Linked DNA regions of Caenorhabditis elegans. The protein of the gene in region 2 interacts with the protein of the main gene of each other region in a pairwise test. Each region holds a gene or a part of one and is shown on either strand. Other genes may lie near its edges.

The links.
Region 1: the proteins of smg-7 (region 2) and gei-18 interact in a two-hybrid assay, tested with the Caenorhabditis elegans proteins (one study listed by BioGRID).

Annotation. Positions count from the first base shown.
Region 1 is NC_003282.8:13,976,160-13,991,927, forward strand, and holds gei-18 (GEX Interacting protein), read right to left. Parts: upstream 6,367-15,768; 5' UTR 6,365-6,366; coding exon 6,307-6,364; intron 6,071-6,306; coding exon 5,966-6,070; intron 5,905-5,965; coding exon 5,735-5,904; intron 5,678-5,734; coding exon 5,380-5,677; intron 5,318-5,379; exon of another isoform or gene 5,297-5,317; intron 5,256-5,296; coding exon 5,063-5,255; intron 5,019-5,062; coding exon 4,928-5,018; 3' UTR 4,903-4,927; downstream 1-4,902. Other genes in the region: dnbp-1 (SH3 domain-containing GRB2-like protein), read right to left, coding at 18-167, 213-334, 388-502, 797-1,261, 1,315-1,774, 2,561-2,822, 2,910-2,998, 3,445-3,522 and 1 more; tor-2 (Torsin), read right to left, coding at 6,525-7,212, 7,263-7,446, 7,641-7,701; tor-1 (Torsin), read right to left, coding at 8,355-9,042, 9,096-9,279, 9,474-9,534; egl-23 (Potassium channel domain-containing protein), read left to right, coding at 12,974-13,002.
Region 2 is NC_003282.8:6,734,839-6,751,074, reverse strand, and holds smg-7 (DNA/RNA-binding domain-containing protein), read left to right. Parts: upstream 1-8,631; 5' UTR 8,632-8,644; coding exon 8,645-8,725; intron 8,726-8,770; coding exon 8,771-9,118; intron 9,119-9,320; coding exon 9,321-9,421; intron 9,422-9,470; coding exon 9,471-9,583; intron 9,584-9,636; coding exon 9,637-9,698; intron 9,699-9,745; coding exon 9,746-9,851; intron 9,852-9,903; coding exon 9,904-10,469; 3' UTR 10,470-10,544; downstream 10,545-16,236. Other genes in the region: lin-45 (Raf homolog serine/threonine-protein kinase), read left to right, coding at 2,651-2,722, 3,617-3,787, 3,950-4,132, 4,184-4,306, 4,359-4,619, 4,979-5,278, 5,329-5,452, 5,626-5,840 and 5 more; Y73B6A.3 (TransThyretin-Related family domain), read left to right, coding at 10,793-10,885, 11,979-12,125, 12,168-12,308.

The DNA.
Region 1 (15,768 bases), 7.2 Mb from region 2:
GCCATTTTTTCTAAAACCTTGACAATTTCATTCAGGAAAAGCGGATATTTGGTGGCTCTTTGGATGGGTCTCGAAACGGCAGTTGGTCCGTCAATAACAACGGATCCACTTTCTCGCATACGTTTAACAATATCCTGAAGTGCTGATTCCATAGTTTTCTCATGTTTCTGAAATTCATATACTTTTAATTTTAACAACAGGTAAAAGCTTACCGCCGAGTTGGTAAGAGCATTGATATGCTCGATATTTCTAAAGTAAAAACCATAAGTTTGAGCAAATGGTTTTCGAAGTTGTAGGAAGCATGCACCGATTAGTTGAGCATCTTGTGGTTTGACTGAAAACATTTTAAAAAAATAAAATACTGAAAACTGGAATTTTAGCACTCACTCTGCTCATTGGTGAGAAGTTGGACAAGATTAGCCGAGAGCTGTACAATTTGAGCACATCCATTTTTCAGAATAACCTTTTGCTTTTGATTCAGGAGAGGAGTTCCGTCTACAGCCTGGAAATTATTTTTGATTGAAATGTGATGATTGAATAAATAATAAACAACACACATCGGTGTTAAAGCCATTTTAAGATAGTACTTAATATATTTTCTCAACAGGAGAAAAAATTGCTAAATGGCGAAAATTTCTGAAAAGATCAATTGCTGAAAGTAAATGAAAGTAAACGCCCAGACGTATTAGTGTCATAGACTTTTCGTCAGACTTTAAATGAAAATTTTGAAACAGTATAAAAATTTTTGAAGATAAAATTGTCGATTGCTGAAATGCCGTGCACCCCTGAACTATACCTCTGTATAGGAATTAATATCACTGATGAACTGTAGTTCCGAGCTTATCAACTCCTCAATGATTCTGCATCGTTTATCCTCATCATTTGATGCTCCTTCGGTGGCGGAAATCAGTCCAATTTCGAAGTCACTGCCAGCAGACTGGATCGCAGGGTTACTTGGTTTTGGAGTATCTGTCATTCCAAACATGTCAGCCACGTTGCCAATATCATTGATAGGTGATTGAATAGAACTTTGCTTAGGAGGTGGTGGTCGGGCTGGAGCTGAAGTCTTTGCTAGCTGAACTGGAGCAATCCATTCTTCGCCGAAGGTTGCCCAATTTTGGGCAGGTTTTGATGCAGGCGCTGCCGGTGGAACTGCTTCAAAGGTTGCCCAATCGGTGTTTGTTCTTCCAGCGGGTGGTCTCCAATCGGATGAGGATTCAGCATTTGAGATGAAGGAGGAACGATTGTTGGAGCTACCAAACTGAAAAAAAATAATTGATTTAACTATAAAAACCTATTTTCTTCAAGTCTCACCGTAAAATCGCTGGTCCCTCCAGTTCCACGCCTCATAGCATTTGAAGATTGATTATCGTCATCTTCTTCATCCAGATAAACTTCTAAAAATCCTACAGGTACAATTCCAGTCTTCTCTGTATCTGGATCCTTGCACATAACCCATTCATCATTGACCATTCGTAGTACTCGAACAGTGTCTCCAGCATTCACAGTCAGCTCATCTCCTTGACGACCGGAAAACGCGTGCCGAACATTCGCAAATCCGATTCCATCATTCTCGGTGGTCGTGCTTCGTCGGTTATTTTGAAGCGATGTAGTGTCATCGTCAGGTAGATCAACGATGATTTGAACGAAAGAAGTGGGGAATATTCCGACACGAGCAGATCCTATCGATCCTTCAAGCCATTCTGCATCGATTCGACGACGTAAGCTGATGATTTCGTCGGCAGAGAAAGAGAGCTCGTTTTCAAATTCGCCTCTGGAAAATATATAGATAAATTAGAATATTGAGAAGATTGAAATGAATTTTGAAACTGAATAAAAACACATTATTTATCCTACTTTGACGTGACAATATTTCACAATAAGATACAGTAGTACTGGCCAAAAAAGTATCCATTTTAAATGAGTATAACTCGAGAACTAGGAATGTTATTGAAAAATGCTCAGCCAACAAAAAATTACCTATAACTAGTTCTACTTGTTTTCATAGACCCAAAACAGTCATGACAAAAAATAAAGCGTCAGATATTTTGTGAGTCAAGATTATTACTGCAACTCAAAAACCACATTTTTAATGGAAAGTTTGTAAAAATAAATTAATCTTCATGTAATATTTTATTTCTTGCACGTGCTAACTTTTTTCTTTACAACGGCCATGATAAAATCATATTTTAGTTATGTATTTTAACCAATTTAATCCAAAAATTTGTGAAAAAATCGTTTAAAAAGGCGTAACACTTTTCCCGTTTCAACTGCCATATATATTTTTTCCTGACTTTTTGGTTTTTGATAGAGATGTGTTTAATGCAAATATTTGGCATATTTGAAAAGTGATTTAAATATTGATTTACTGTTACGCACTTTCTATTAAAAATTTGGTTTTCGAGCACAATTTAGTGATGATAGCATTAAAATTGGTAAAAATTAGCGAAATTATCAACGAAAAAAAACTGAAAGTGGGCACCACGTTGGAAGACAAATTTTTTAAATGTGTTTTTGAATTTGAAAAAAAAATTTCAATTCATTAAACGTAAAAACTCACTGAAAATCATAAACAGCTCTAGCGTACGGCGACACTGCATAATTCGAAGTTGCCGCTTTCGGAGCAGTGGCAGGCGTCCGAAATCGGACATCAGCCTCACTGAAATCCGTGGTGAATGACGGCTTCATCGGACTTTCAGCAGAAACATGCAAATTGACCAAATGTGCCTCCGGTAACAATCCACGGCGTCCTATTTGAACAGCGTTGTCATTCACCAGGAATCCGTCCAGATAACCAGGATTTGAACGCGACGGTTTTGCTACTGAAAATGTGATTGATTGATAAAATTGGTTAGTTAACTGATTGGTTGCAAAAATTAGAGAAATAAATTGTTGGAAAAAGTATATACCAAAGATTGAAAATTCTGCAAATGAGAGATCATCGGAGCGGATAGAGGTGTAAGCTTCAATTGAGCAATACACCTGCTCGTCAGGTTGTCTGCAAGAATATAGAAACAGTCTCAGATAAAATGAAATGCATATTGTTATTTCACAAAATTTTGCCATGCTATTTTAAAGGCACACGGGTTCATTCAGATAGGTCTCGGCGCGCGAATAAGTTTGTGGTAGTCTTTTTTTCGTGTTAAAAATTATTTCAGTGCTCAAAACACAGAGAAAATTTGTATTAAAATTTTTTTCTGTTTCTCGGTCAGCTAAAAATCATTTAAGTTAAAAGGAAATCGATAATCTTAAATTATAGAAAAAGAGTGTATTTGTACTTTGAAAACTGATATTTAAAAACAAAGCGGTGAAATTCGCATAATAAACGAAGAAACAATCGCAAAATTTTTTCGCGCCGAGACCCATCTAAATAAATCCGTGCGCCTTTAAGAAGGAATTTCAAAATCTTGTGAAACGACAATCTTTTAGAGAGAAAGCAAAAACCTTTTCGGGTCGACGATGGGCAATGTAAGAACTCTGGGAACCCGACCGGAAACCCCTTCGATGGTTTGAATGTGACACCTAGAAATGTTAAGATTTTATAAATTGGCACTGCCACGTGGCACTGACCAATCCCCCTCCTCACGGACCACCTTAACAATCTGATCTTGGGCTACAGAACACCGCGTTTCGGGATCTTGTGTGGCATTTGAAATTCTTACCCACGAGAGGTGGGCCATACTGCAAAATTTTGGAAAATTTGAGAAAAAAGTGTTCAGACGCAGACGGAGTTAGTCAAGCTTTTTTTTTGAAAATTACATCAAAAATTCAATTAAATTTCCAATTTTCGAATAGAACACTAGTTCCTATTGCAAAATGTTTATAGTTTCTATGGTGTTAGATTGGATTTCGTCAGTGAGACGAGAAACTAAACAATATTTTTATAAAATAAACAATTAGTAAGCGATAGACCAGCCAGAGACCAATTTTGTGAAATTTTCTTTTTTTCAAAAATTCCCAATTTTTAGCTAAAAACCCCAGTTGTAAAAAAAGGATTATTTCAATGAAAAGCCATCACAATTGAAACATGAAAAGTGCGTGTTGGGATATGAAAAATCGATATTCTCATCGAGAAGAAGACGTGCTGCTGCGACGTCGCCCGCCCCACCAGCCGAGAAATCGAAAGATGCAAGTTCGCTCTATCGTTCAACTACTTGTCATGTTTTGAGGAGACGCAACGGGATGAGGAGGGGGCAAGACACAACAAACACGCACACAAAAAAAAGCACTTGTGTGCACACAAAATTGAGGGAATTAAATCGAGGAAGAAAATGCCGAAAAAAACTGCAAAAAAAAACTAATAATGAGGAACCGAAAATGTCATCAATGAATACGAGTTTTTTGAAGAAAAAGGCTTTAAAATTGATGTAAATATTTTTATTTTTTTCGTAAACTGAACCCTAAATTGATAAACGGAAAAACTGATAAAAAGTTATGATGAAAAAAACAAACAGGAAAAAGAATTGTTTTTGTTTACAAAATATAGTTTAAATTTTAAATTCTCTGAGTTCGAAGAGGACTTTTTTTCAAAATCGTTTTGTCGCGCGGTCAGCCTTTGGTTTTGAGCGTTTCTGAGAAAAATTTGAGTAGATCACACGTAGATCATATTATATCTTCTTCTAATTTCACATTTAAATGTGCATTTCTATAGATTTTCCCTAAAATTTTGTGTGATCTACACTTGATCTGCCCTAAATTTTCACAGAAACACTTAAAAACTTGTTTTGTTTTCTCGTGAATAATATTTTTCTAATCAAAATTTTAATATAAAGGAACCAAATAAACATGAGGATTTTCAATTAAACAAATCTTTTGAAACAGTAATTTTTCCCGGTGAACAAAATTGCAGTAACCAAGTTTAAAAATTCCATATTTTTTCACAATTTCCAAGTAAACAAAAACTAAATTTTTAAACAAATAATTTTTATTATAAGCACATAAAATATGAAATCCTGGCTACAATTGGTGGAATATTGTCATAGTTTCCTCCATTTTCGATCCAGCGGTTCGTTACAAGCCTGGAATTTAATTGCTTTTTATTTTAAAAATAAAAATCACTTACTTCAAAATTTTCCCATCACAACTATTCCCAGAATAAGTAGTTTCTTCTGTTGATACTGCTAGGAGGAGTACAGTTTTTGGGATGGGAAAAGTTCCATGGTCCGCAAAGGCATGGAGCACTAAAACTGCATCCCATGCAAGAAGATCAATATTTGTCAGGACTGCTGTTCTAGGTGTCATTTGTGATGCGAGAGCTAAAGTGGTAAGTGAAATAAATTTCAAGAGATTTTCGGAAAAATACATTTACAACTATATAACGTAAGTGTCAAAAATGCCCAAAATTAATGAACTTGGTGAAACAGTTAAAAAAAAACTAACCATTGTTCAATATTGCATGTAGCTCTCCTCTTTCAAGTTGATTTCCAATTTCAATTGGTAAATTATTTGAATTTGTCTCTGATTTAGAATTTTGAATTGCCTTGTTTAATTTTTCAGAAAACTCATTAGCTTTCAAACCAGCAATAACTATGACAAGCGGAGCATGTTCATCTGGATGTAAAAACATTTGTTCACCAATTAATCTCAAAAGATTCCGATTTTCTTTTGAAATATCTGAGAAATCCGAATTGACAAAGGATCTTACTGATTCTATGTAGTTTTGGTAGGGGTTTCGATCCTGTAAATAAGCAAATTTATTTGTCGAAAGGAACAAAGTTATGTGGAAAAATCAAACCTGGTTTGGTTCATTTTGAAGCATTGAAAAAGTTCCTTGAGATATAAAAAAAAGTGCAGAGAGCAAAAGAATCAGCAGTGTCATTATTAAATTATTCGAGATTTCCCACTTTCTTGAAAATGTCTTTGATAATGTTTTGATCATATATTTTCTGTCGAATTGAACGGCATCTGAAGTAGCATGTATATTGTTAATAGTTACATTTCTGGACTTTTAGGGGAAAAAACTCACGGCTTTTTTCGGCAATGCACAAATTGCAAATTACATTTCCACCAGCAAGAACAATTTCCGTGTTTGACCAAATTTTCAAAGTGCAGAATTGGCATTGCGAATAATCTGGAAATCGTTACATTTCTGAATAGAAAACTACGGATTACATTGTAGGTAGATTTTTAGATAGGCCTTACCTACAGCAGGCGTTACGTTTTTTGCTATCTTTTTTGTGTACATATTGCTACCTATTTTAGAATCTAATTTTGCATAAGTTTACAATTTTTTAATTTATTCTAAATTTGCCTAAAAAATTAAAGAAAACAAAATTTTTTGGCGTTCTACAAACTTTAAAAACTCACACTGAGTTTTCTTGTTGAATTCCATTCCCATCGTTCCACTATTTTTCCGCGGAGTCATCTGAGGATGATAATGATATTTAAAAAAAAGAAAAACATGCATAAATTAACAAATTAATAAGTATTTGGAACTTCAAACCACTTAAAGCCTTAGAGAACACCGAACCATAAAAAATATTGAACACAAATTTATCAACATCTTGAAACAGGAGAAAATACTTTCACAACTCATCATTAAACTCTTTCTTCGAATTGAGTGAGAATCCCATCTTGGAAATTTCGAGATCAGTCTTTGCATTCACACGTTTACATCCTGACGAGGAAAATATTTTGCTAGATTCAGGGAAAAATTCAAGAGAATCAAGAACTCTTTGCATGAATTCTCCATCCTTTGCCAAATCATGTCTTCCGCGTTTTCGAAGATGTACTTGAATGCACTGGGAAACGTAGAACTTAGATAAGGGAAGAAATGGTATAAAATGATCAATAAGTTGATTAGAGATCATATCAGTGTTACGAAGACCACCTTCTTCATTGAATGCAGAAAGCATCAGTGTTCGTTCAAAATGCTTCAACTCGAGTTGTGATCTTATTTTACCATTTTCATGATGTTCTAATGCGATATTAGCAATTTCTTTGCTCCCTTTGTTGCTTAGAAAAATGAAGATAGTTTTCCGAAAGTCCACTCCAAAGACCGCCGGATAATAATCAAGAAATGGTTTGATCACTTGAATCAATTCACTTTGTAGCTTATCCGTCTCATCAAATATAAAAATAGATCGCTGACATCTTCGGGCCGATCTTATAAGTTGATCTTTCAGTTCCAATTTATAATCCTCAATATACTTTTTATTCGGAAAATTATTTGTTGCAACGAAATAATTCACAAATGGGCTGTGCATTCCACTTCTAAAACATAAACTTGTTTCTCAAAAAAATTTTAAGCAATGAAAAGTTACCGATAAGTATTGTTCACAATAATTTCAGTCACATAATTCTTTCCAGTGCCGGTTCCGCCGTGAAATGAGAGAACTAGCGGCTTCTGAGAATGCTCATTGTGCCAATGAGATTTGATTGAATGAACTACAGATTCTGCCATCAAGTGCTGCCCGAAAATTTTATTATCGAAATCTTTGTATAACGCTGAAATGTAAAGTTTAGAAAAATATTTAAAAAATAAACGGTTTTTCTTTCAAAAGTATCAAAAAAAAAAGTGCGAAAAATGCTCCTTATCACGGAGCACAACTCAAAATTTGTATATAGCTGTGTTTTACATTAGAAACAATTTGCATGGTGTTCTGAATTTTGACTGAATTTCTTAAAATATTGCTACTCACCATGATAATTGAATATATCCGTTTCACCGCAGCAAGTGTAAAATAAACATTTTAAAAACATTGGCATTGATAAGCTGTGGACATCGACGACTAATTGATTAAGAATGATAACGAAAATAATATATTTAAAAAATTGCATCTTTCTTTCAGAATAAAACAAAATATTTGACAAGTGAGAAGTAAAGGAAAATGAAATGGAACAGAAGATGTCGCTTGTTATCTGCGTATTCTTGCTAACATCAAAATATCCATGAGAAATCACACCGAAAAATAGATTGATGCACTGATAACGAAATTTGAAGATAAAGAAACATTGAACATAGAATTTAAATTTCAATAGAAACCATTTTTCAGCGAACTTTTTCATTTCAAAAGGGCTGATTTTATTCAAAAACATTTTTGTACCAATTCAATTTTATTTTGAGCAGTTACTACAGTTCAAGCTTAATGCAAAGATAATAAAAACTAATTAACTTATGAAAGGTGGAGTACCTGGTGGAGGTAAAAGTATCTGGTTCAAAATCATTTTCTACTCGCAAAATTAAATAATAAAATGAATACAATAAAAACGTAGTTATGGACAATTTGAAACAGGGGAAATATTTACAACTCATCATTGAGTTCATTCAATTTTGTAAATGTTGCTAAATCAACAAAAAAATTAAACACTTAGAATGAAAACAAATTTCTGGACATTTTGAAACAGAAAAAAAACTACAACTCATCATTAAACTCTTTCTCCGAATTGAGTGAGAATCCCATCTTGGAAATTTCTAGTTCAGTTTTTGCATCTACACGTTTACATCCTGACGAGGAAAATACCTTGCTAGATTCAGGGAAAAATTCAAGAGAATCGAGAACTCTTTGCATGAATTCTCCATCCTTTGCCAAATCATGTCTTCCGCGTTTTCGAAGATGTACTTGAATGCACTGGGAAACGTAGAACTTAGATAAGGGAAGAAATGGGATATAATGATCAATAAGCTGATTAGAGATCAATTCAGTGTTTCGTAGACCACCTTTCTCATTGAATGCATGTGACATAAGTGTTCGTTCAAAATGCTTCAACTCGAGTTGTGACCGTTTTTTAAGATTTCGACGATGTTCCAATGCAATGTTCGCAATTTCAGAGCTTCCTTTGTTGCTTAGAAAAATGAAGGTAGTTTTTCGAAAGTCAACTTCAAAAACGGCTGGATAAAAATCAAGAAAAGGTTTGATTGTTTGAACCAGTTCACTTTGTAATTTATCCACCTCATCAAACACGAAAATGGATCGATCACATCCGTCGGCAGATTGTATTAGTTGTTCTTTTAGTTTCAATTTATAATCCTCTATATGTTTGTTGTTTGGAAAATCCTTTGTTGCAACAAAATACTTCACATATGGGCTTTGAAGTCCACTTCTGAAACACTAATGCATTTTTTTCAGAAAGTATGCAAAATCTTGAACAATTACCGAAAAGTGTTTTTTGCGATGATTTCAGTCACATAGTTCTTTCCAGTACCCGGCCCACCATGAAATGAGAGAACTAACGGTTTCTGAGGATGCTCATTATGCCAGTGAGATTTGATTGAACGAACCACAGTATCTATTACCAAATGCTGGCCATAAATAAATCTAGAAAGATCTCTGTGTAGCTCTGAAATGGGAAACTATAACAAGTACTAACTCAAAAAGGGAGTTCTTTCAAATTTTCAATACAGATTTTCTTTTGGCTTTTTTTTACAAAAGTACAAACTGTCTCATTCAAGCTTAAAAGGTGCGTAAATATTTTAAGTATTCACTTTTTCCACCGGAAGAGTCTAATTTGTTCAAATTGTATCTTATACTCACTAAGATAATCGAATATATCCGTTTCAAAACAGCATGTGCAAAATAACCATTTTAAAAACATTGGCAGTGATAAACTGCCGATTGGAAAAAGAATCAACAATAAAACATAAATTCTCATCACAAAAATGCAAAAATAGGTCAGAAATAATTTTGATGTATGTAACATAAACTGTGAAATTGTTGGAATTTTAATCCCACAAACAATTGGAAAGGGATTACTGGTGAGCAGATTTGTGCGAAATCAAATGACCATTCAAATTATGAATTGCGTTTGTAATAGATTCTATAGGTAACTGAAAGCATGTTTTTATAATGTGCAATCAATTATAATTAAATTTTCTGAAGCACAGTTTCCTAGGATGAAAAAACAATTGAAAAAAAGTAAACTGTACGATGTTGACAATGAACACGCCATTAGATTCAGTAATTAACGAATTCAATAAATGTTTTGAAAATGATTTGTGGAGGAATTCGATGAATGGGTCGATTAATCAATGAAATTACTTATAAAATCGAGAAAAGCTATCTATAAAAGTAGCAGAGTTTTTTTTTGTTGAAAAAGTAAAACTGTATGTTATTTATGTTCCATATGTGCTTGATCCAAGGAAGTGCCGCAACCTTTTGCTCTGGAAGTTTCTGATTTTTCAAATGTTGTTAAAACACTGTTAAAGATACTATTGTGACGTCAGAATTTCCTAAGATAATATATACCTAGTCCATTTTCTGTAGAGCAAAGAAAGAAGAGATTCCAATTATTTTTAAGATTCCAATTAGTTCTATTTTTTGTGACTCGCGTGTTTTTTGGTGCCTGAAAAACTATTTTTTTTGATAACGCGGCTAAGCACAGAATGGGACAGACTTAATCTTCCAATATTTTCATAACTATATGAAACATACAAGTTTTGGAAATATAAAAAGCTATAGAATTAAAAATAAACAAATTATCAGAAAGGTGTCAAATTGCAATTACAATTACCAGTTTTTTTACGGAGAAAAAATTTGCTCGACTAAAAATGGTGTTTCAATTCCAATTTTCAGCTTTTCAATTTTCAATAAAAATTTTTTAAAAGCCAAAACAAAGACGGCAGTAGAAAGATTTTTCTGGGTACGATAAATGAACCATTAGAAACAATAGAAAAAAGTTCCACATTTATCAATGTTTGCAGAATATTCTCGATAAACATGAATGTTTCAAAGCCATACAAGAGAAATCTGAAACAAAATTTTAATTGACGTATACTATGGGAAAATTGTATTCAAAAATGTGAATATGGAAAAATACTTCGACACAGCGAAACAAACTTTTTATATCAAATTTAACAGTTACAAATGGCTGAAAAACGCTGCCTGAAGCGCATATTTAGGAGACCTTCCGAAAAAATGTTTTCCAGCTTTGACAGATGTTTCAGAAAAAACAAGTTTTCATATCTCTCTGGGAACTAAAACAAGAGTAGCTAGCAAGTTAACCGGTTTAAAATTTAATCTTGCAATTTTAATCAGTAATTTTATCAAAAAAAATCCAAAAATAATTATATTATTTCAAATAGTTGTGATCTTTCAATTACTCTTTAGAAATTTAGAAACAGTTTGTTATTGTACCGAAAAGTGACTTACTAAAAATTTTTCATTTAAACAATTATTACAAAAGTACTGATGAACAGATTTATAGGAAATCAAATTACCATTCAAAAAAAAAAAGAATTTAGTTTGTAATCGATTCCAAAGGTAGTGTAGATATTTTTTTGAGAACAACAAATAAACAATTAGAAACAGTAAAAAAAATTGAAAATACTCACATTTATCAATGTAAGCGGAAAATTCCTGATAACAAGCATGTTTTAAAATTATATAGTGTGATTCTCAAACAAAAATGTAATTTATTGATTTATTTACAGCATAATTTTATTTTGAATTTTAATGGGGAAATATATTCAAAAACTGTAAATATGGGAGGATACTGTGAAATAACAATTTATACACAACTCATTTGTCAAATAAGAAAAATGTTCAGAAAATAACTTTAAAAAAAACGCTGCCTTTGGTACCTAAAATGCCTAATCCACAACAAACTGAATATTACTAAACTCCTAATATTTTCAAAATACATAACACGAATGTGTTATGTATTCTAAAAATTAAGATTTGATTCCAATTCCCAGTTTTTCAATTTTAATCAAATTGTGGAGACGCCAAAAAGATAAGTAGAGTAGATTTATGCAAGGAGCAATAAATAAACAATTAGAGTAAGTAGAAAGTGTTTAATGATCCACACATTCAACATCACCATATTTCATGAAAAATTGTTTAAATCACACAATGTTTTATTCAAATATTGAAACAGAAGTTTTTTTTAAATCTAAAAAAATTTGCACTGTTTCAAACAGTTGTGAAATTCCAACTACGCTTACAAGTTTGTTCTAATGCAGAAATTTTGTTCACTAAAAATTTATATTAATTCCAATTTCTAAATTATCAACTTCCAATTAGTAACCTCAAAAGGCTAGAAAATAAAAAACAATTGGTTACTTGGCTCAAATGACTTAAATTTATTCTGCAATGTTTTTTGTGCTCTCTTGGTGCCTGGAAAATTAAATGAAAGCAAAGCTAGCTATTATTTATCTTCCAATGTTTTCAAAACTATATAAAACATAAAAATTTTAAAAACAGTTACGAAAATAATTTTAAAAAATCACTGTTTCGCACAGTTGTTAAATTTCAAATGCGCTCACAAGTTGTATTGGACTATTGAGAGTTGTATTCAAAAAATTAAGATATAATTCCAGCTTCCAGTTTTTTAATTTTCAATCAATGCAATGTTTGGAAGACACCAAAGAGATAAGTGGAGTAGATAGATTTATTTTAGGAAAAATAAATAAAATATTAGAATAAGTAGAAAATGTTTCAATTATCAATATTTTATATGTTTTAAGGATATAAAAAATGATTCAAATGTTTTTTGTTTTGTTGTGAGACCCTCCCATGATGTTCCAGAACGAAAGTTTACCGGTTTTTGGTAGATTTACAGACCGGAAACTTTTCATAGTCGTCGTCTTTCTCAAAAAACTAATTTGGGTTTCTATAACATCACACTACTTAATAAAATTGTTTTAATCACACATTGTTTTATTCGAAAATTGAAACAGAAAATTTTTTAAAAATCTAAAAAATTTTGCACTTTTTCAGAACGTTGTCAAATTGCAATTCCACTTAACAGTTGTGCTATATAAGGAAGTACCTGCTTTTAATTTCAACTATTTCTACCTGATCAAACATGATATTTGAATTCCAATTTCAATTTTCAGTTTAGTACCTCAAGAGTTAGATCAAGCTGTCAAAAAGTGATCGATTGTGAGCCAATGAGAAATAGAGATAAATTGGTCAACCACCAAAATCTTTTCTTTTTTCATGTGGTTTTCATTTTGCATCTCATTTCTGTTTTTCATCTACATCTAAACATTTTCATTCTTCTCATTCCGTCACCCCATTCTGTTCCCGGAATCATGGAATCAAAAACTGCAATTTTCGAAAAGTAAGTTGGCCTTTTTGTGGGAAAATGACCGGGTTGTGCTTTTTTTCTGTTGCAAAGAGAAATTTGAATCTTTTTCGAGGGTCAAGAACATGTGATTTGCTTAATGGAAATTGGGTACAAAGATGTCTCAAATGGACATTTACAAGAATAAAATTCCTTTTTTTTCAATACTTTAGGAAATTGAAATTTTTTTATTTCATGTTTCAAAGTGTGGTTTTATGCATGGAAAATTGAAAAGCGTACTGACTTTTTTAGCCTTTTATTTAAATTTTTCTATATGTAAATTGACTTGGAATATATTTTTAAATCAAGTTTTCTACATTTCTAATTTTTATTTAGTGCAATTTGGAAAAATGGAAATTTACAAGAATAAAATTATTTTTTTTCAATACTTTAGAAAATTGAAAATTTCGTTACTTCATGTTTCATTGTGTGGTTTTTAGTAGGAAGAAATGAAACGCATAATGATATTCCTATTGACATGGACTCACTTTCTAGTTGCAAATTTGTAACTTAATTTGTAATAAGTCCAATAAAATTTGCCAGAAATTTATAAAAATCGTTGTTTTTTGAAGTTAATCTGCCGCTCATAGGCAACATACAAATTTTTCAACTTTTGAGAGAATTGGCTGAAAATGAATTTTCTTGGAACGCTGCCAAAACATCTATCGCATTGGAAGAATAGTTGATTGCCCGTAAAATATGTGAATGTTTTATAAAACATTGCACAGTTGATTAGAAATTACGAAAAGCTGTTAAATACGCTCAGATGGAATTTTTTTTCCCTTAAATGATAATTTTCGCAATTTTTTCCATTTAATGGAGATGCAAATTGAACGCGCCTGTATCATCCTTCTCTCTCCCATCAATATGCAATTTAGGCGCGCGGAACCCGTGAGATGTCGGCGGCCTGATATTGGTTTAGGTCAAAATTTTTGCCTTTTCTCCGTGAGTGGACGAGAAAAAGGCGGGGCCTAAATATTAGGTTTTCTGCAGTACACGCCACGCAGTTTTTTGTTTTGAGTGTACTATGCAATGAAATGTACTTTTTTATTGTGTTAAGAAATATTGAATTGAACTTACGGGTTTTTCGTTCTGAAAAGAAAATTTTTTTCAGAAAAGTTACTGTTTTCATTTCTTAAAAAATAAGACTTCAGAAAATGGTGGAATTAATACATCTTTTCTGTTTGGAAACCACGCAAAAATAAAAAAAAAACAGTGACAGTGACACTGTATGATTCTGATTGGTTTCTCGTTGCCAATATAAACTAAACACATGAACAAAAAAGTAATATTTAATTATACATAAATTTTCAAATTTTGTGTATCTTCACACTTTCCATATATAGACACTTAATTGTTATGCCTACTCGCATTTCATATCCCGTTTTGAAAATTTCAAATGTTTTGTGAGTCATCGAATATGTTTTGTACCATGCAACACCATGCAAGATTTTGTCAAGAATAATTTTTCCTTGAGAAGTTACAAAATGTAGTCTACAATATAGACAATTTCTGTGAAATCAATTATAGATGAATTCAATTTTTTATTTCAAAAAAATCGTGCACTAAAAGATTTTTTTTTAAATATACATGCAACTGCAACTGCCCTGCGTTTTTTCCATTTTTGTTTGAAATTAAACAATGAAAGTGGAACAGTAGAAACAACTTTAAATTTTCTGAAAAAAATCCATTTCGGCATTTACATTTCTAAAGAACTCCAAAAATGCTTCCACTTTATTTTTTTCATACATCGGAGTTTTATTTCCAATATTCCATTAATTTTCATGTTTCAGTATGTCATTATATGCGTTTCCATATTTTTTATTTTATTATGTTCAACAAACTAACATCCCACTTTTGTATCAATATTCCTTGAAAGTTCAATTTGTTCTAAAACGGTTACCAATTTCATTTTGGCTATCCAATTTTTATCGGAATATAATATGAAATAAAATTGACTTTTTTATTGAGTTGAGATGGAATTGAACCAATATTCTAGAGAAAAAAAAGTTATTGAATTGAACCGCTCACCTTTTTTTTCTCAAAGTTTGAACATTTCCCAGCAGCTGGAGAATTCATTTTCGGGGTTCTCATAGATTTTACTTTGATTAATTCATTTTCAAATTGGTTTTTTGTTCCTAAATCTCAGCGATATTATTGCAGTCTGAGCCTGTGAAATTCTGTGGTGGTAGAAAAACAACCTCTCAAAAGAATAGTTTTAACGAATAGTTTTAATGAGAATAGCTTTAACGAACCGATATTCAAATATTATTGAAACATTAATTTTTTTTTAATTTTCTAAAAATAACCTTTTTCTTTACTGTTTCAAATTGTTGATAAGTGTGGTCAATTAATAAATTTGGCATTACGTGTTGAGAACTGTTGTGTTGAGAACTAGTATATTTTTGGTATAAAGAATATATTCCAACTTTCAGAATTTTTCGAAAATCTTTAGTAGAGTGAAAAGTATTAATGTATTTTCTCAACCTGCAACTCAACCTCCCTGAAAAATAACTGAACCGAAAGCATTAGCTCCTCCCCCGTCTGCCTTTCTTTTCAATTCAAATACTACGAATGAACACTTGCTCTTTCATCCCTCCTTCTTCCACTAAATGCTTCAATCCGTGTTTTTATTTTTGAAATATATATATGGATAGATATACAACGACTACGACCAATTTATTGGTGTCATTTCAAAAGCTCATTTTCCAATTCTAAATCGTTCATTTTAGTATATCGCAGGGCAAATTGGGAAATTAAAAC
Region 2 (16,236 bases):
GTATGGTCAATTCAAGTTTATTTTCAAATTTTGTATAGGTGAGTTATATAGCAGTTAGGACATCCAATCCTAAAAGTTTCAGCTAGTTTCAGCTAATAGCTTCTTAGTTGTTTGATCTGAAAAAAATTTAAATTGTTTTTTATGCAATTAATTGAACTTATTCACTGTCTAGTTAAATATTTAACGAAAAAATATAATCGGAAAAATTTAATATTTTTTAGTAAATTTCACTGTTTCTCATTTGCTATAAAATTTCTGTGTGTGTGGTCCAATTTTGATGAAATGTTGTGATGAATTTTTCTCATCTACGAACAAAACATAATTGATTTAGTTATTACTTAACATCAAAACTCAAAGGCCTAATCCAAAATATCGCAAAAAAATTAGTAATGTTACATATTTTCAGAACAAAGTACCAAGAAGCTTAGCTAAAACTTGTAGGCTTGTATATACTAACTGCACACTATATGTAAGTAGCCCATACAAAATTTCAGACAAATCGTAAACTTACAAAATATGTCAAAACTTATTTGTTGACCAGATTTTGTTGGCGATGTGTGCATCATGCGCCCACTTCTAGTATTATCTACAGTTGATCTATAACTAGAGCCCCCTAAAAACTAGTTCAAAAGTCAGCCGAGTCTTGTTGTCACTAAATCACTCAAACAATAAATATATCACATACACATATATCTTCTTCTTTTTCTTCATTTCTTTCTCGTTTTCTTTTGCACCGAACTGATTTAAGATCAGTAGAGTTCAAGATACTCAGAGAAGCTGAGAAAATCAATGATCATGATGTTTTTGGTGACCAGAAGGAGCAAAAGAGCAAGAAGGGAAAGATGGAAAGGAGGAAGGAAAAGCAATCGAACTATACAAAATGTAGTAAAAAGACAAACTTTGAGTACAACGAGCACACAGAGTATGAAGAGGTTTTTGAGCGACTAAACATAGAAATTTTTTCACTGTTTCAAGGGATCTAGTTTAAAATCGAAAAATCGATTTTTCGATTATAATCTTTGATTATAATCTTTGAATAGCGTTCAATTTGAAATGTCCAATGCTCTTAAACTTTTAACTGTAGAGGTAGATTTGGTGTTAATTTCTAAAGCTGGCGAAAACCTTGCAATAGATACTTTTAAACTTTTTTGGAGCTCGTTTGAGCATGTCGGCTGAAAATTTCTGAAGACAGGACGTCCCAATGTACGATTCAAAGTTAATTTCGATGAAGCCAAATTTCTGAATTTCTGTTGAAAATCTATATTAAGAACTACGATATCTCACATTAAAATGAAAATAATTGTTATTTTGCGAACTACAATTATACTGAAATAGGTTTTTTTTTGAAATTCTAGTGATCAAAGAAATTTGAAAAAGTTTTGTATAGTCAACATTAGATCAAAATAATGCTTTCGTAGTTTGTTTATTTAAAACTTTTAATAATAATCTTTAGAACCTCAATCTTTTTGATAAACCAAAACAAATATTTGATAGAAAAATGACCTCTTTGATGTGGAATATAGTGTATTTTGTTTCTTTTTTGAGGAATTGTTCGCACTTTTCAAGTGGAAATTGGCGGAAAAAGATGAGAATAGAGTGGAATGAAGAGGCGGAACGAACAAAACACATTTGATGCGCGATCCCATTGATTTTTATTCGTAGAATTTGGATTTTTTTCATAGATTTTTCAAAATAGATTTTTAGACTCACGCTTATTCCTCAAAACATGTATCAACTCAGATGGGTCTCGTCGCGAGAAAACACATTAAGACATATGTTTTAATCTCCGTGATGCCAGCTGCTTTTATTCTGCTTTCCAACTTTCGAAAATTTAGTTTCAAAATAACTGTTTAAAAGTGGTAAAGTTGACAAATGTTAAGATAATAAGTTGATAAGTAATACTTAAGTTAAGTTGATTCCAAGGAAGCAAATGATACCAAATTTTTCTAAATCCTAGAATGAACTATTTTTTCGTGGCAAGACCAATCTTAACAGATCAGTTCACTTTTCAGAAAATTTGAAAATTACCATAACGTAAAGGTAATCAGTTGAGTCATGTAATCCCTTTTTTCTCAAAAATGTCCACATTCTGCAAAATCTTAGTTGCAATATGTCACAGACATTTGTCTAGTCTGTCAGTTTCAGATAAACTTTTCCCGTTTTTTCAACTTTCACAGCTAATTCGGGGTGTACTAACTAGAAGTAGCTTATTAACCAAATGTCATCTAGTTCCTTCTTTTATAATTTGATTAGTGGTTTTTTTCGAATATATTCTTTTCTAGTTTGTGTTTTGTCACGTATGACCTTGTTTCTTCAAATCAACTTGCTGCTCTCTTCACAAACTAAGGTCATCTGTTTCGTGTTAAGACCCAACGCTGAAAACATTGTCAACCTATTCGTGGCACGTGTCGCTCCCGATTTACACGTTTCTTTTTCTTTGCTCTCTTTTTCTATCTCTCTCGATCAGAGCACAGAAACCAGTGAGAAAAAATAGATGGCGAAAACAAACCCCGCCTCTCTTTTTTTGTGTGTGAAGAGAACCATTGGATCCAAAGGGGCCCCTGTTAACAATATATTTTTACTTTCTGAAATTCTTCTAAAGTTATCTGGAGATAATTATATTCCATAATTGATCACATAACATTTTAAAATGTCTGCAATGGCTGTACTGTATTCAGTTTGTCACTTTCATGGAGGCTGGAATCGTCGGAAATCGGCACCAGTAAGTTGAAAACTGATTTAAATCAATAGGGTACACTCTGTGAAATCATAGTGATATTTGAATAATCAAATGACTTTATGAAGCAACCCGCGGGGCTTCTGTATTGAGAAAATACACGATTGCATTTAAAACTTTGCGAACACAATTGTTTAATTGGCCAGCAAATTGAACATTCGTGATTCCTTTTTTGAACATGGGAATCCCACGTTTCATTCGTAACATCTTTTTCAATACAAGTTTTAACTTTTCTTTTCAGCTATCGAGTTACTGTAGATTTGAAAAGTTAATTTATCAACTAATGAAAATAAACGTATTCCATATTTCCATTAATAATAGATTTATTTAAAGCTTCACTCCATCTACATAAATTCATATAACCGAGCGCAACGCTGTCCTTATTATTTGAAAATTCTAATAAACCCTGCAAAATCTGGGTTAAAATCTTCTGCGCGAAAATGGAAGAGAAAAGTGTGTTCGGCCCGCGGACTAACTCCCTCCGTGTACTCTTCTCGGAAAAGAAAAAAATCATCTTTGCGCCCCTTACCGCCGCTCTCTTTCTTTTGTTGACCTTCTATCTGCGAATATATTGATTTTCTGGTTTATTTTATTTTGGAATTAACTGCAATTTTCACATGGAATGCTCTCGCGAAACGGTGTGTTTTCGAACGTTTTCCACAAATAAAATGAAAGTGAAAAATGCTAAAGGGAAACATTTATTTGTTCAGATTGTTTTAAAAAGTGCTTCACAATAATAAAATAGAGCATCTGAAAAGTAATTTACTTATTGCTTGTTCTGATTTCTCAAATGTCCTTTAAAAGTCCGTGTTTAATGTTTTACTCGTCCAAATTGTCCTTTTGTTTTTTAATTACATGTAATCACTAACAGCAATTTAGAAGTCACCTGTCACATCATCTCAAACGCCATCATCATCGTCGACACGCCGCCGAATGAGTCGGATTAATTTCAAAAAGTCATCGGCGTCGACCACCCCGACGAGCCCACATTGCCCATCTCCGCGGCTTATAAGTCTGCCGAGATGTGCTTCTTCATCTATTGATCGGAAGGTAGAAAATTAGCAACGAATCCTTTGTCTTGAATTTTTTAACACTAATTACATGTTACTTGTGGGGAATCGTGTTAATCTATTCAATTCAGAATCAAGCGTCCACTTCTCATTCCAAAGATTATCAATTAAATATTTATATGTAACTCATAATTATTTTCAGGATCAAGCTTCGCCGATGGCAAGTCCTTCAACTCCTCTTTATCCAAAGCACAGTGATAGTCTTCATTCGTTATCTGGACATCATTCCGCTGGAGGAGCAGGAACAAGTGACAAGGAACCGCCAAAATTCAAATACAAAATGATTATGGTTCATTTGCCATTTGATCAACATTCTAGGGTTGAAGTAAGCAAAAAATTCACTGTGAAACGAAGAAAATAAGCACATTTTGTTCAGGTTCGTCCCGGTGAAACCGCGCGGGATGCCATTTCGAAATTGCTCAAAAAACGGAATATCACACCTCAATTATGTCACGTGAACGCGTCATCTGACCCAAAACAAGAATCTATTGAATTATCGGTGTGATTTACTGGAATCTAACAGCATAATTCTTATTTTTGAATATTTTCAGCTGACAATGGAAGAGATCGCATCCCGACTGCCTGGAAATGAATTATGGGTTCATTCAGAATATCTGAATACAGTCTCATCGATTAAACATGCAATTGTTCGAAGAACGTTTATTCCACCGAAATCATGTGATGTATGCAATAATCCTATCTGGATGATGGGATTTCGATGTGAATTTTGTCAATTCAAATTTCATCAAAGATGCTCATCGTTTGCACCACTTTATTGCGATTTGTTACAATCTGTACCGAAAAATGAAGATGTGCGTTCAGAACAAAGGCGGGCGGCAATATTACAAAATTACCAATGTTGTCCCAACATTTGTCATTAACGTCGAAATATAGAAAACCACATTATTTATCTAATGACAACTTTTAATTATGTTTAAAGATCTGTGAAAATGCACAATAATGGCCATTTGCCATAGGCAATTCGCAACTTCTAGGTCATTTTTGTGCATTTTCATAGATGTTTAAACATAATTAAAAGTTATCATTAGATAATTAAGGTGGTTCTATATATTTTTTACACTGATTTTTAATGAAAAATGTTGGAACAACATGGCGTAATTGCTCACCTCTGCTTCAGAAACAATTCTTATCTAAAACATTTAATTTTCAGCTAGTGAAAGAACTCTTTGGGATCGCATCACAAGTCGAAGGCCCAGATAGATCAGTTGCCGAAATAGTTCTTGCTAATCTAGCTCCAACGAGTGGACAAAGTCCAGCTGCCACACCAGACAGTTCTCATCCAGATTTGACGAGTATTAAACGAACGGGTGGTGTCAAAAGACATCCAATGGCTGTTTCTCCACAGAATGAAACATCTCAATTATCTCCATCCGGACCTTATCCACGGGATCGGAGCTCTTCTGCTCCGAATATCAATGCGATTAATGATGAGGCAACAGTTCAACATAATGTAATAGTCACCAATTTTAAAAGAAAAAGTCTAAAATGTATTATTTTCAGCAAAGAATTCTTGATGCATTGGAAGCTCAGCGATTAGAAGAAGAATCACGAGATAAAACTGGATCGTTACTTTCAACACAAGCACGTCATCGACCTCATTTCCAGAGTGGACATATTTTGTCAGGTAATCGAAAACAGAAAACATAACGATTCGTCAAAAGGTCAGGGAAGAAAAACAAAATTCCAAATTTAAGACGTTTTTCTAAAGTTATAAAAACAATTTTTACTCTATTCCACCTTCAAGAATTTCCCAAACGACTCTAATTATTTTAATTTCACTTATTCTCAATTATTCAGGAGCTCGAATGAATCGTCTTCACCCACTTGTTGACTGTACTCCTCTTGGCTCGAATTCTCCTTCATCTACATGTTCATCACCTCCAGGTGGCTTAATCGGACAACCTACTCTTGGACAATCCCCGAATGTATCAGGATCAACGACGTCATCATTAGTAGCCGCTCATTTGCATACTCTCCCATTAACACCACCACAATCAGCACCTCCTCAGAAGGTAGAATTCAAAAAAATCTATTTTTCTTCAATTAAAAATGTTTAGATTTCACCTGGTTTCTTCCGAAATCGTAGTCGATCGCCAGGCGAACGACTTGATGCACAACGACCCAGGCCGCCACAGAAACCACATCATGAGGATTGGGAAATATTGCCGAATGAATTTATTGTAAGTTTATTCTACATCAGCAAGGGTGCACGGCTTTTGCAAACCGGCAGTTCTACAAAAGGAGCATGTTATCCTAATTTTTTTCATTTAAATTCAGTGATCGAATATAGAAAAAAAACATTTTATTTATCTGAAAATAGCTTTTTTTTTTACAGTTGAAGCAATAAAAAAACGCTCAAAACTTCTGTCAAAACTATTAAAACAAGCATTCTTTTAGATTCAATACAAAGTTGGTTCGGGATCCTTCGGTACCGTCTATCGTGGAGAATTCTTCGGAACTGTTGCTATAAAAAAGCTGAATGTTGTTGATCCGACGCCTTCTCAAATGGCAGCCTTTAAAAATGAAGTTGCAGTTTTAAAGAAAACACGTCATTTGAATGTTTTGCTGTTTATGGGATGGGTTCGAGAACCAGAAATTGCAATTATTACTCAATGGTGTGAAGGATCGAGTTTGTATAGACATATTCATGTTCAAGGTGATCTGAACTGAGATTTTAATTCTTATAATTTAATAATTTTCAGAGCCACGCGTCGAATTTGAAATGGGTGCTATCATTGATATACTGAAGCAAGTGTCTCTTGGAATGAATTATTTACATTCAAAAAATATTATTCATCGGTAACTGACCATATCTATAATTTATGTTTAAATGTTTAAAACATTTCAGTGACTTGAAAACGAACAATATATTCCTTATGGATGACATGTCAACGGTAAAAATTGGAGATTTCGGCTTGGCAACTGTCAAAACGAAATGGACAGTGAACGGAGGTCAACAGCAACAACAACCAACAGGAAGTATTCTCTGGATGGCACCTGAAGTCATCAGAATGCAAGATGATAATCCATATACCCCACAGTCTGATGTGTATTCTTTTGGAATATGCATGTACGAAATTCTATCTTCGCATCTACCATACTCCAACATTAATAATCGAGATCAGATATTGTTTATGGTTGGAAGAGGGTATTTGAGGCCGGATAGATCGAAAATTCGACATGATACGCCGAAGAGCATGCTCAAATTATATGACAATTGCATTATGTTCGATAGAAATGAGCGGCCAGTATTTGGAGAGGTGAGTGGGAAATACCGACTTTAGAAATTTGGTAGAACTATGATTTATTATGGGGTTATTCATGAGTGTCAAAAAACTTTTAAAAAATCGATTTTTTGTACTTTGTACATGTTTCGACAGCGTCGACGAGCGAAAAACTACAGTAAGCCGCCATGCGGCGAGACCATACGTTTTCATATGACTATGTCTCTTCAAAAGTTGTGTAAATTTACGAGCTGGGCGTTCTCCCCGTGTACACCGCGAGGACAATTCGGAATTTATTTTCTTCCAGTACTTCACACATTTTCGCTCTTTTTTTTCACATTTAAAATTGGCAGTTTTGTCTAAATATGGTGGCTTCCTTTGATTTTTCACTCTTTGACGCTGTCGAAAAATGGATAAAAACATGCTTTTAAGAAATCGATGTATTTTTTAAAAACATTTTTTTCGCTCATGAATAACTCCACTACACTGAAAAATCCAAAAAAATATTGTAGTTTGATTTTTAAATAAATTTTAATGAATGAATTCCAATTTTTCAGGTTCTCGAACGACTTCGCGACATAATTCTTCCAAAATTGACTCGTTCTCAATCAGCTCCGAATGTTCTTCACTTAGACTCGCAATATTCGGTGATGGATGCTGTAATGAGAAGCCAAATGCTTTCCTGGTCATATATTCCACCTGCAACTGCAAAAACCCCACAATCAGCAGCAGCAGCGGCCGCTGCTAACAAGAAGGCATACTACAATGTCTATGGTCTCATTTAGTTTTATTTTGTTTTTTTTTTTGAAAATCAAGGGACACTGCAACTTTTTAGTTGATTTTCTCGTCTCTCCCCGAATATGTACCTTTATTTTCTCTCTTTTTTCTATTCTTCCCAGTGATTTTCCCTACCCCATGTGTACACTAACCAAAAAACTTCCAGTCGAAGAATAATCTCGCCCATCGTTATTTTACTAATCATTTCTCGTCACATTGAATCCTGTTCTATTATTCACCCCCTCATCACCCATCCCGATATTATTATTATTATTTTAACCCCGTATTCACCGTTTCCTCCAAAACTTAAAAATCCCACCAAAATACTTTCTTTCCAGTCTAAGTCCGCCTGCAATCGTTCCCCCATGTGAAATTGTGATAATTTTCATATTTTTGTTTCGGCTAAACCGGTAGAACTTTTTCTTTTCCAACTATAATGCTTTTTATTGAAAACGTTTCTTTTGATAAGTTTTCAATGTTCCCACCCCATTTCCGTTTCCAAACATCCCAAAGATTCTCTGTATGTATAGAATTATATAGAATCCAATGCCTATCCGTTTTGTTTTTGTCATTTCGAACACATTTTGAAACTTCCATTTATTTTAATTTCAAAATGCAGCATCCCCATTCCTTTTCTGAACCGGGTTATTTGAATCATTTAATTTTTGCAAACAAAAAAAGTTGAAGATAAAATAATTTTTCGCCTGACTTCCTGTTTCTTCTTTTGAGTGGCTAGAAAAAGTGTAGGATTTCAGATTAATATTTTAAAATTTGAAAAAAAAACAAAACAATTTTGTTCCAGAGGATTCCACAGGATGTCGGACGAATGGGAACAGCTTACTGTAGAGTTGAGAAAAATTCCACGTGGCACCGAAGCTGCACCACAGTATTTGAGAGTAAGATTGAGAGGTGTTGATTTATCGAAATGAGAATAATTCCAGCATTTAATGAAAATGTTTGTCGCTGACTTCGAAACTGCTGTATCCAAAAGATTCGATGTAAAATTCTGGAATAAACTGAAATCAATGATGGATGAAATAACAAAAGCAATGGAAAATGATCGACTTGTTAATCATAATGTTCAAAATCTTGCAATTGGATTTTTGACTGATTTATCACTTCTTGTTCATTATCATTATGAAATTCCAAATTATGGAAACGATATCTCAAAACAATTAACATGGACACCAGATGTATTTCTAAACAGAAAACCTATCAAGTCGAAAAAGAATAGTCGAGTGTTCATGGCTTATGTTCTGTTAAGAATGGGAGATTTAATGAGATATAAGGTAGTTTTGAAATTTTTTCATAATTTTGGAAACAATGATGTCAAAATTTGTTTTTCGTTTTTCGAAGTTGATCCAACATGGACCAAAAGAAAAATCGAAAAAAAACCCGAAATTTTTAATTTTTCGATACCAAAAAATTCTAAAGAGCGAAGGGTGTCGTTTGGGTAGTATTTTAGAAAAATCATATAACATTTATTTTCAGGAGAACTACCCAAAAGCTCAGGAATATTACGAGCAATCATGCCGCATTAATCCAGCTGATGGAGCTGTCTGGAATCAGCTAGGATTGATATCTTCACTTGGGTAATATTCAAAATTCCATAGATTTCAGGAAAAAGTTTACAATTTTCAGTGCAAAAAACCTGGAAAGTGTCTATTTTCATACACGAGCTCTTCATGCCACTATGGAATTCCCAACTGCTTCTGGTGGCTTAACGAATATTTTCAAAAATTTTGCAAATCGAGGTACTGTAGGATTTTCATTGAAAACCTAGATATCAAAATATGTCTGTTTTCAGATATTTCAAGACCAATGCCTATTAAAGATCTATATTTATCCTGCCTAGGAAGAATTCATTTCGTGAGTTTAATTCAGAAAGATGAGTATACAAGGGTTACAGATTTCAGCTTCTAGAAATCGAAGATTCTTCTGTGCACCTACAAAAAATTGGAGAAGAAGCTGCAACTTCAAAAGAAATGATTGTTCCTCTAATGTCTGTATATAAACATCTCGGTTGGTTATTTTTAAATTTTATTTTGTTTTCATTAACATTAAAATTTTTCAGAGGACGGAACTGAACTTGAACAACGAGCCGTAGAGTATGTCAAAACTATTTGGTGTACGGCCTACCGAAGTCTCCTGAAAACTTTGGATGATTATAAGGAGGAATCAAAAAAACTGGCAGATGTTCCACATCTTCTTCATATTCTGGCACTTTTACTCTGTGCACCTAAACTCCTTCGCGGTATTGAAGACCAAACTGAAGATGAAGTAACATCAATTTGCGAATGGCTTCTATGCGCAAATTGTGATGAGAAAATCAAGGATTCTGATGCTTTTGGATATTTTCATTGTCTTCAAAGAATTCAATATCCACTCACTAGAACTCAATTGGCTCAGAAATTAGTTGAAATAGAGGATGAAGATGAATCTAAAGATTCCGATCAATCAACAATACCAGAAGAAGATCAGAAAAGCCTTTCTACAGACACTTCAAGAATTCAAAACGAGGATTCGGAACCTGAATCTGAATCTGAATCTTCGGATGAGGAAGTTTTGCAACGTGGCCGTCGGCGTGGAAGAAATCCGAATCTAGACGAATCAGTCGAAACGGATGAAGATGAATTTTAATGATATCATATTTTCGAGTGTAATTGTGATATAATTCCATTGATTCCAGAACATATTGTCATAATTTTTGGTTTTTTTTCTTTTCATGCTACATAAAAAATTAATATAATTTTGGTCTATTGCAAAAAGAAACGATCTACAACGTTGAAAAGTTCGGATTAATTTCAATGAACGAATAGTTTATTCATGAGGATTATAGTCTAGTAAATTGCAATTTTCACACTTTTTTGTATAATCTCTTCCTTGTTCATTTCCGCCTTCCCACGCCAACCTATAAATGTTGCACGGGGCGAAAGTTTATTCATTCAATTGTTGCGATCATAATGGTTCGAGTTTTACTTGTAGCCATTGCTCTTATTGCATTGATTGTTCAAGTCGACTCCGACTCAATGCCATGGAGAATGATTATGGCGAAGGTTTGTTTGAAATTAGGACACCGTCATTTAGGTGAAACTTGAAATTATGTGCTACATTTTTAATCAATCGCAGTTTTCCCTGTGAAGGAAATTTCTTTTTTTTTTGGAATTCGTAACCTTTATAAACTTAATTTTCTGCACCAAATAACCACAACTCTACAATTTGGCACATGTTACGACCGTTATGAGATTGAGCGTGGCGAGACCTATTCAAAAACTGCGTGTGCCTTTAAACTTGTGTGTCAAAGCTTTGCAAAACAATCATATCAGCAGTGGGGAAAGTGCTTAAAATTACTGATAGGGTCCTAAGGATCATAGGTTAACAATGGCCAAATATCAAAGCATATATTTTTTTTGTTGACAATAAGAATATTTTTGTAGACAAAAAACCATGGTTTTCCTCCAGGTTTATATATTTTATGGTATTTGTAATTACGTATCATTATTTGAACAATACATATTGAGATTCAGTTCACATCATTGCTCGAAATTACTTTAAAAAACGTCTAATTTGTCTTTAAATTAGCACTTTTCCAAAACTTTGACTTAAAAAACTAATACATTGTAGAGTTCTTCATATTCACTGTCGCTGCTGCAAATCGAAATATTCTGTGGCAATCTAATTCCATTTTCACCATTTAAATTCTGATTCGAAACCCGAAAAGCACTGAGAAGCTATGATCAAAATAACAAGATTCCTCTCAAAAAGCACGATTTTAAAAGATGGAAAGATCAGACTAATTCCAAACAAATAAAAAATAGTTTGTTGAAGGATTGCCCTTGTTTACTTCCGAGACTTATATAAAAGTACAAGATACGGAAAGAAAGTTCATTTAGTCATTCAGAAATGATTCGAATTATTACTGTATCTTGTGTATTGATTGTTTTATTTCTCTCTACAATTAACTCAAATTCCATGCCATGCAGACAAGTGTTTGTAAAGGCATGTAGATTAAAAGTTGTAGGAAACATTCTTAATTTCCAAAAGTAATTTTACGATTTTACGACACCAATTTCCCTTTTCCAAAATTAATTTTAATGTTCAAAATTGATGAGGCTTGCAAAATAAAAATTATCGGTTTCACATTTTCAGCCTGGAGATCGAGTGGAAATCGGATATTACAATCCAAAAAACATTACGAGATTTGTGAAGAATGCAAAAGGAGTCGGTCAAGAACACGTTTTCAGAGTTTGTAATGGAAAGAATAAGACAAAATGTGGTTTTTGGGAGAACGTTAAGGTAATTAATTTCATATTTTTCGAAAAAAATCTAAAGCTTCAGACAAAAAAGAAGGTAGAACCAAAAACTACATACAACAAGAAGAAGAATCTATTGATTATTCAAAAAGTGTCAGCACTTGATGCAGGAACTTACAGAACTCCAGAATATGATACAGTTGATCTTTATATTCAAACTGATTAGAAACTTGTTAAATTTGCAATAAAAATAAATCATGAAAGCGAGCATATGAGGTATATTGTTTCTCAAGAGGCTTTTCAAGATTCTCACTGGCTCTGCGTACTTGCAACAATTTAGTGACTTTGTTATACAAGCTAACTCGGCTCGTCGCACAATGCTCCTTAATACTTTAATTTGAATCAAAACGCAATAATTTTCACCTAACAAATTGGAATTCTGAGAGTTTCTGACAGAAAAACGTTCTCAATTAAAGGTGATGTAGTCGAATTTTTTATTGCCTTAATAGACTCAAAATTGTCTGAAAACTTTTTTTTTTGAAATCGCCGTCAAATTTTGAGTATACAAGTTCATTATCTTGCGTTTTAAACTAGATTAAGGTATTTAAAAGTCGATGGACGGTGAGATTTTTTTTAAAACCTAAACTCGCTGTCCATCGACTTTAAATACCTTAATCAAATTTAAAACGCAATATAATCAACTTGTATACTCAAAGTTTAACGATGATTAAAAGAAAATTGTTTCGAGCCGCTGCTACATTGACACGTCAGTCAAATTTCCGATTTTAGCTAATTTTAGGCCATTTTTTTGACCCGTCATAACTTATTTCTGAAAAGTTTTCAAGAAGTTTCATTGTGAAAGTCGGCGTTTTCAGACGATTTTGAGTCTAATAAAGCAATAAAAAAATCGACTACACCACCATTAACAGTTTATTTGATAGTCTGAAAATTCTAAACTGAAATGCAGTCACTACTTTTGAACATTTCAAAATTATCTCTGGGAGAGTGCTACAGTGCATTTTTTTTGTTACTTCTACGACTTTAAAGGCGCGCGCATTTTCGCGCAATGGTCTCGCCACGCGAATCCCATTGATTTGTTGAGCGCGTGGCGAGACCAATGACGGGACCATTTTGTATAAATGCGCGCGCCTTTAAAGTCGTAGAAGTAACAAAAAAAATGCACTGTATAATAATTTTCAGATTCTGAAACCAATGTTTGTTTAACTCTATTAAGATGGAATAATCTAATTTCCGTCTTAATAGGGTTTAGAGACCCGATCCCCCAATGACCATTGTCTTCCGGAATGGGTCATTCAAAAATCCAGTAGCTTCCAAACATACTGATAAAAATATACGCAAAATTAGTAAGTTTTCAAAACATAAAAAATTAACATCTGAATTCAAATTAACTTTTTCAAAAATCTTAACGCATCAATTTTATAAAAACTTTTGATTAAACAAAAAGTGAAGCATACAAAGCTTTATTCGTTCCGTTAAACCCATAAAGTATTCAATTGTATATTTCTTCTTTTCTCTATTGCACAATTTATTAATTGAGTGAAGTCCAAGATCGTAGCTGTGAAATGTATTAAACGTATTGCTTCTCATGTAACTGGAAAGATTTCTGATTACAAAAATTGAAAATAGTGAAAAGGGATGCGCACCAATCCGTTCCTAGAAAGTCACATTGGGAAAGCAAAACCCCCACAAGGGACAGTCCACGTTTAACAATAACTAAAAACTATTTTTAATTGACATATTAGAAAAAATCAAACTTTGCTGCTTCATCCTTGCAATAACCAAAGGACCTTTTATTCCAGATGGTCCAATCATTTCTTCCCCTACCACTATTACTGTGAACACGTTTTACAAACTGGAAAAAGTAAAAATGTCAAAGTTTCTTGTAAATACAGTGTCGGCCAAAAGTATATGCGTTTTGTGTTTTTCAGTGATTTTTCAAAATTTTCAAACCAGTATAACTCTGAAACTATACGTTTCGGGAAGAAAAGTTAGACTAACAAAATGTTGCTCTTAATGTTGTCTACACGATCACGTATTTATTAGGATTATAGAATAACCATGTCAATAGATACAGCGCCCGACATCTCGCGAGTCAATTTTTGACGACTTTTCGTAAAACGCTTGTAGTTCAATAACTAGACGTTTTCATGAAAAAAGTTTTAGTAATAAAATGAACCACATTGAATAGTACATTGTTTTCATATAACCATTTTGTCTACAAATGATCAGCATTTCAGATATTAACGTTCAAACTGGCGTCTCCCAAGTGCTCGTTTTGCGCATATGTTCAAAAAGTGGGATACGTTTTTCAAAAATCATTTTTTATATATGTATCTTAAGTAACCAATATGGCAATGAAATTTAATTTACAGTTGAACTAAAAAACAATGTGGAAAAAATTTTTTCCACCATCTTTATGAAACATGTTTAATCTTGACTATCAGTAGGTTATTTCGAACGCTAATATCTGAAATGCTGACCATTTGTAGACAAAATGGTTATATGAAAACAATGTACTATTCAATGTGGTTCATTTTATTACTAAAACTTTTTTCATGAAAACGTCTAGTTCTTGAACTACTTATTCTACAATCCTAATAAATACGTGATCGTGTAGACAACATTGAGAGCAACATTTTGTTAGTTTAACTTTTTTTGCCGAAACGTATAGTTTCAGAGTTATACTTGTTTGAAAATTTTGAAAAATCACTTAAAAACACAAAACGCATATACTTTTGGCCGACACTGTACGTAAACTTTTGCTCGTTTACTTTTTTGCTTTTTATCAGAAACTCTACGCGTGAGTGAAAAAACAAAACCAGTGTGGATTTTAAAGTTTATTTCAAATATTTTCAAACTCAATGGCCGACTCGGAAAAAGACGCCTATTCCCTTTACGCCAATGATATGTAAGTGATTTAGGAACTTGTTTTCCATGGTAGGCATGCGCGGTTTCAAGGCCTGCGCGGTTTCAAGGCCTGCGTGAATCCAGCTTGCCTCTCGCCGCTTTTCTGAATTTTGCGTTTTGGCGACTATATGGAAGCCCTATTGAGGAATCCAGGAGGTCCCACCGACTTTTTCGCTCCCCTTCTCGGCAAGTCGTCCCAGCTTTCTCCAGCATTCTGCCTGCTTTCAACAGCATATTGGCCTTTTTCACATTAGCCCTATAGGGCTAACTATAGTTCTACCCCGTACTTTGCAGCACCTTGCGGCGCCTCGCAGCACTTTGCCGCACCTTGCAGCTTTTCGTAGCACTTTACCGCACTTAGTCGCAATTTGCCCCATTTCTGAAGAGATTGTACTTCTTCAAATTTAGGAAATGTTTGATGCACAGACTAGGATAAAACCGTTCTCTAATAATCTCCCTAGTTTATTTTATGCATCAAAAATTTGACTAGAGCTTTTTTGTTGGAAAGTTCAAAAAAGTTTGCAAGTAATTGTGTATAATGTTCAACGTTTGAATGCTGTTCCAAAATTGTATCTGTCAAAAATATATGATTGAGTATATTTTACTGTTTTCTTAATTAAAAAAAAAAACGTAAAATCATGGATTTTCGATTTAATTTCATTAAAATATCCGAAAAATGTCAAAAAACGCCCATGTTTGCAACTTTTTCATGGTTTTTGCTCCGTCCACAATGGTTACCCTTTCTGTATATCCAGTTGTCAAAGGTTTTCCGAATCGGTGGTGCCTCAAATCTAGAAAAGGATTAGAATGAATTAAGACCTAGGATTTTCAAACGTAGTCAAAACGAGGATACCTTATAATCATCATTGACTATATATAAATCGCTTATTCTGTGTGTCCATAGTTTGTAGTCTATGTAGTCTGTAGTCTGTGAAGTTTTCGCTTCTGGAGGGATAGTGAGTTGGGGTTAGTGTAGGGATATGGCTGGGGTACTGTAGTAGTACTGTAGGGGTACTCTAGGAGTACTGTAAGATTACTGTAGTTTAAGAAAAATATATATTAGGGGTACTGTAGGAGTACGGAAGAGACACTGTAGATTTAGGAAAAATCAGTTACTCTCCTTCCGGAAGCTTCTAAAAATCTTTGAAAAAAATCTGAAAAAATCCTTCCGGAAGCTTCTGAAAAAATCGAGAAAATTCTGAAATCTTCAAAAAAAGTTCAATGGA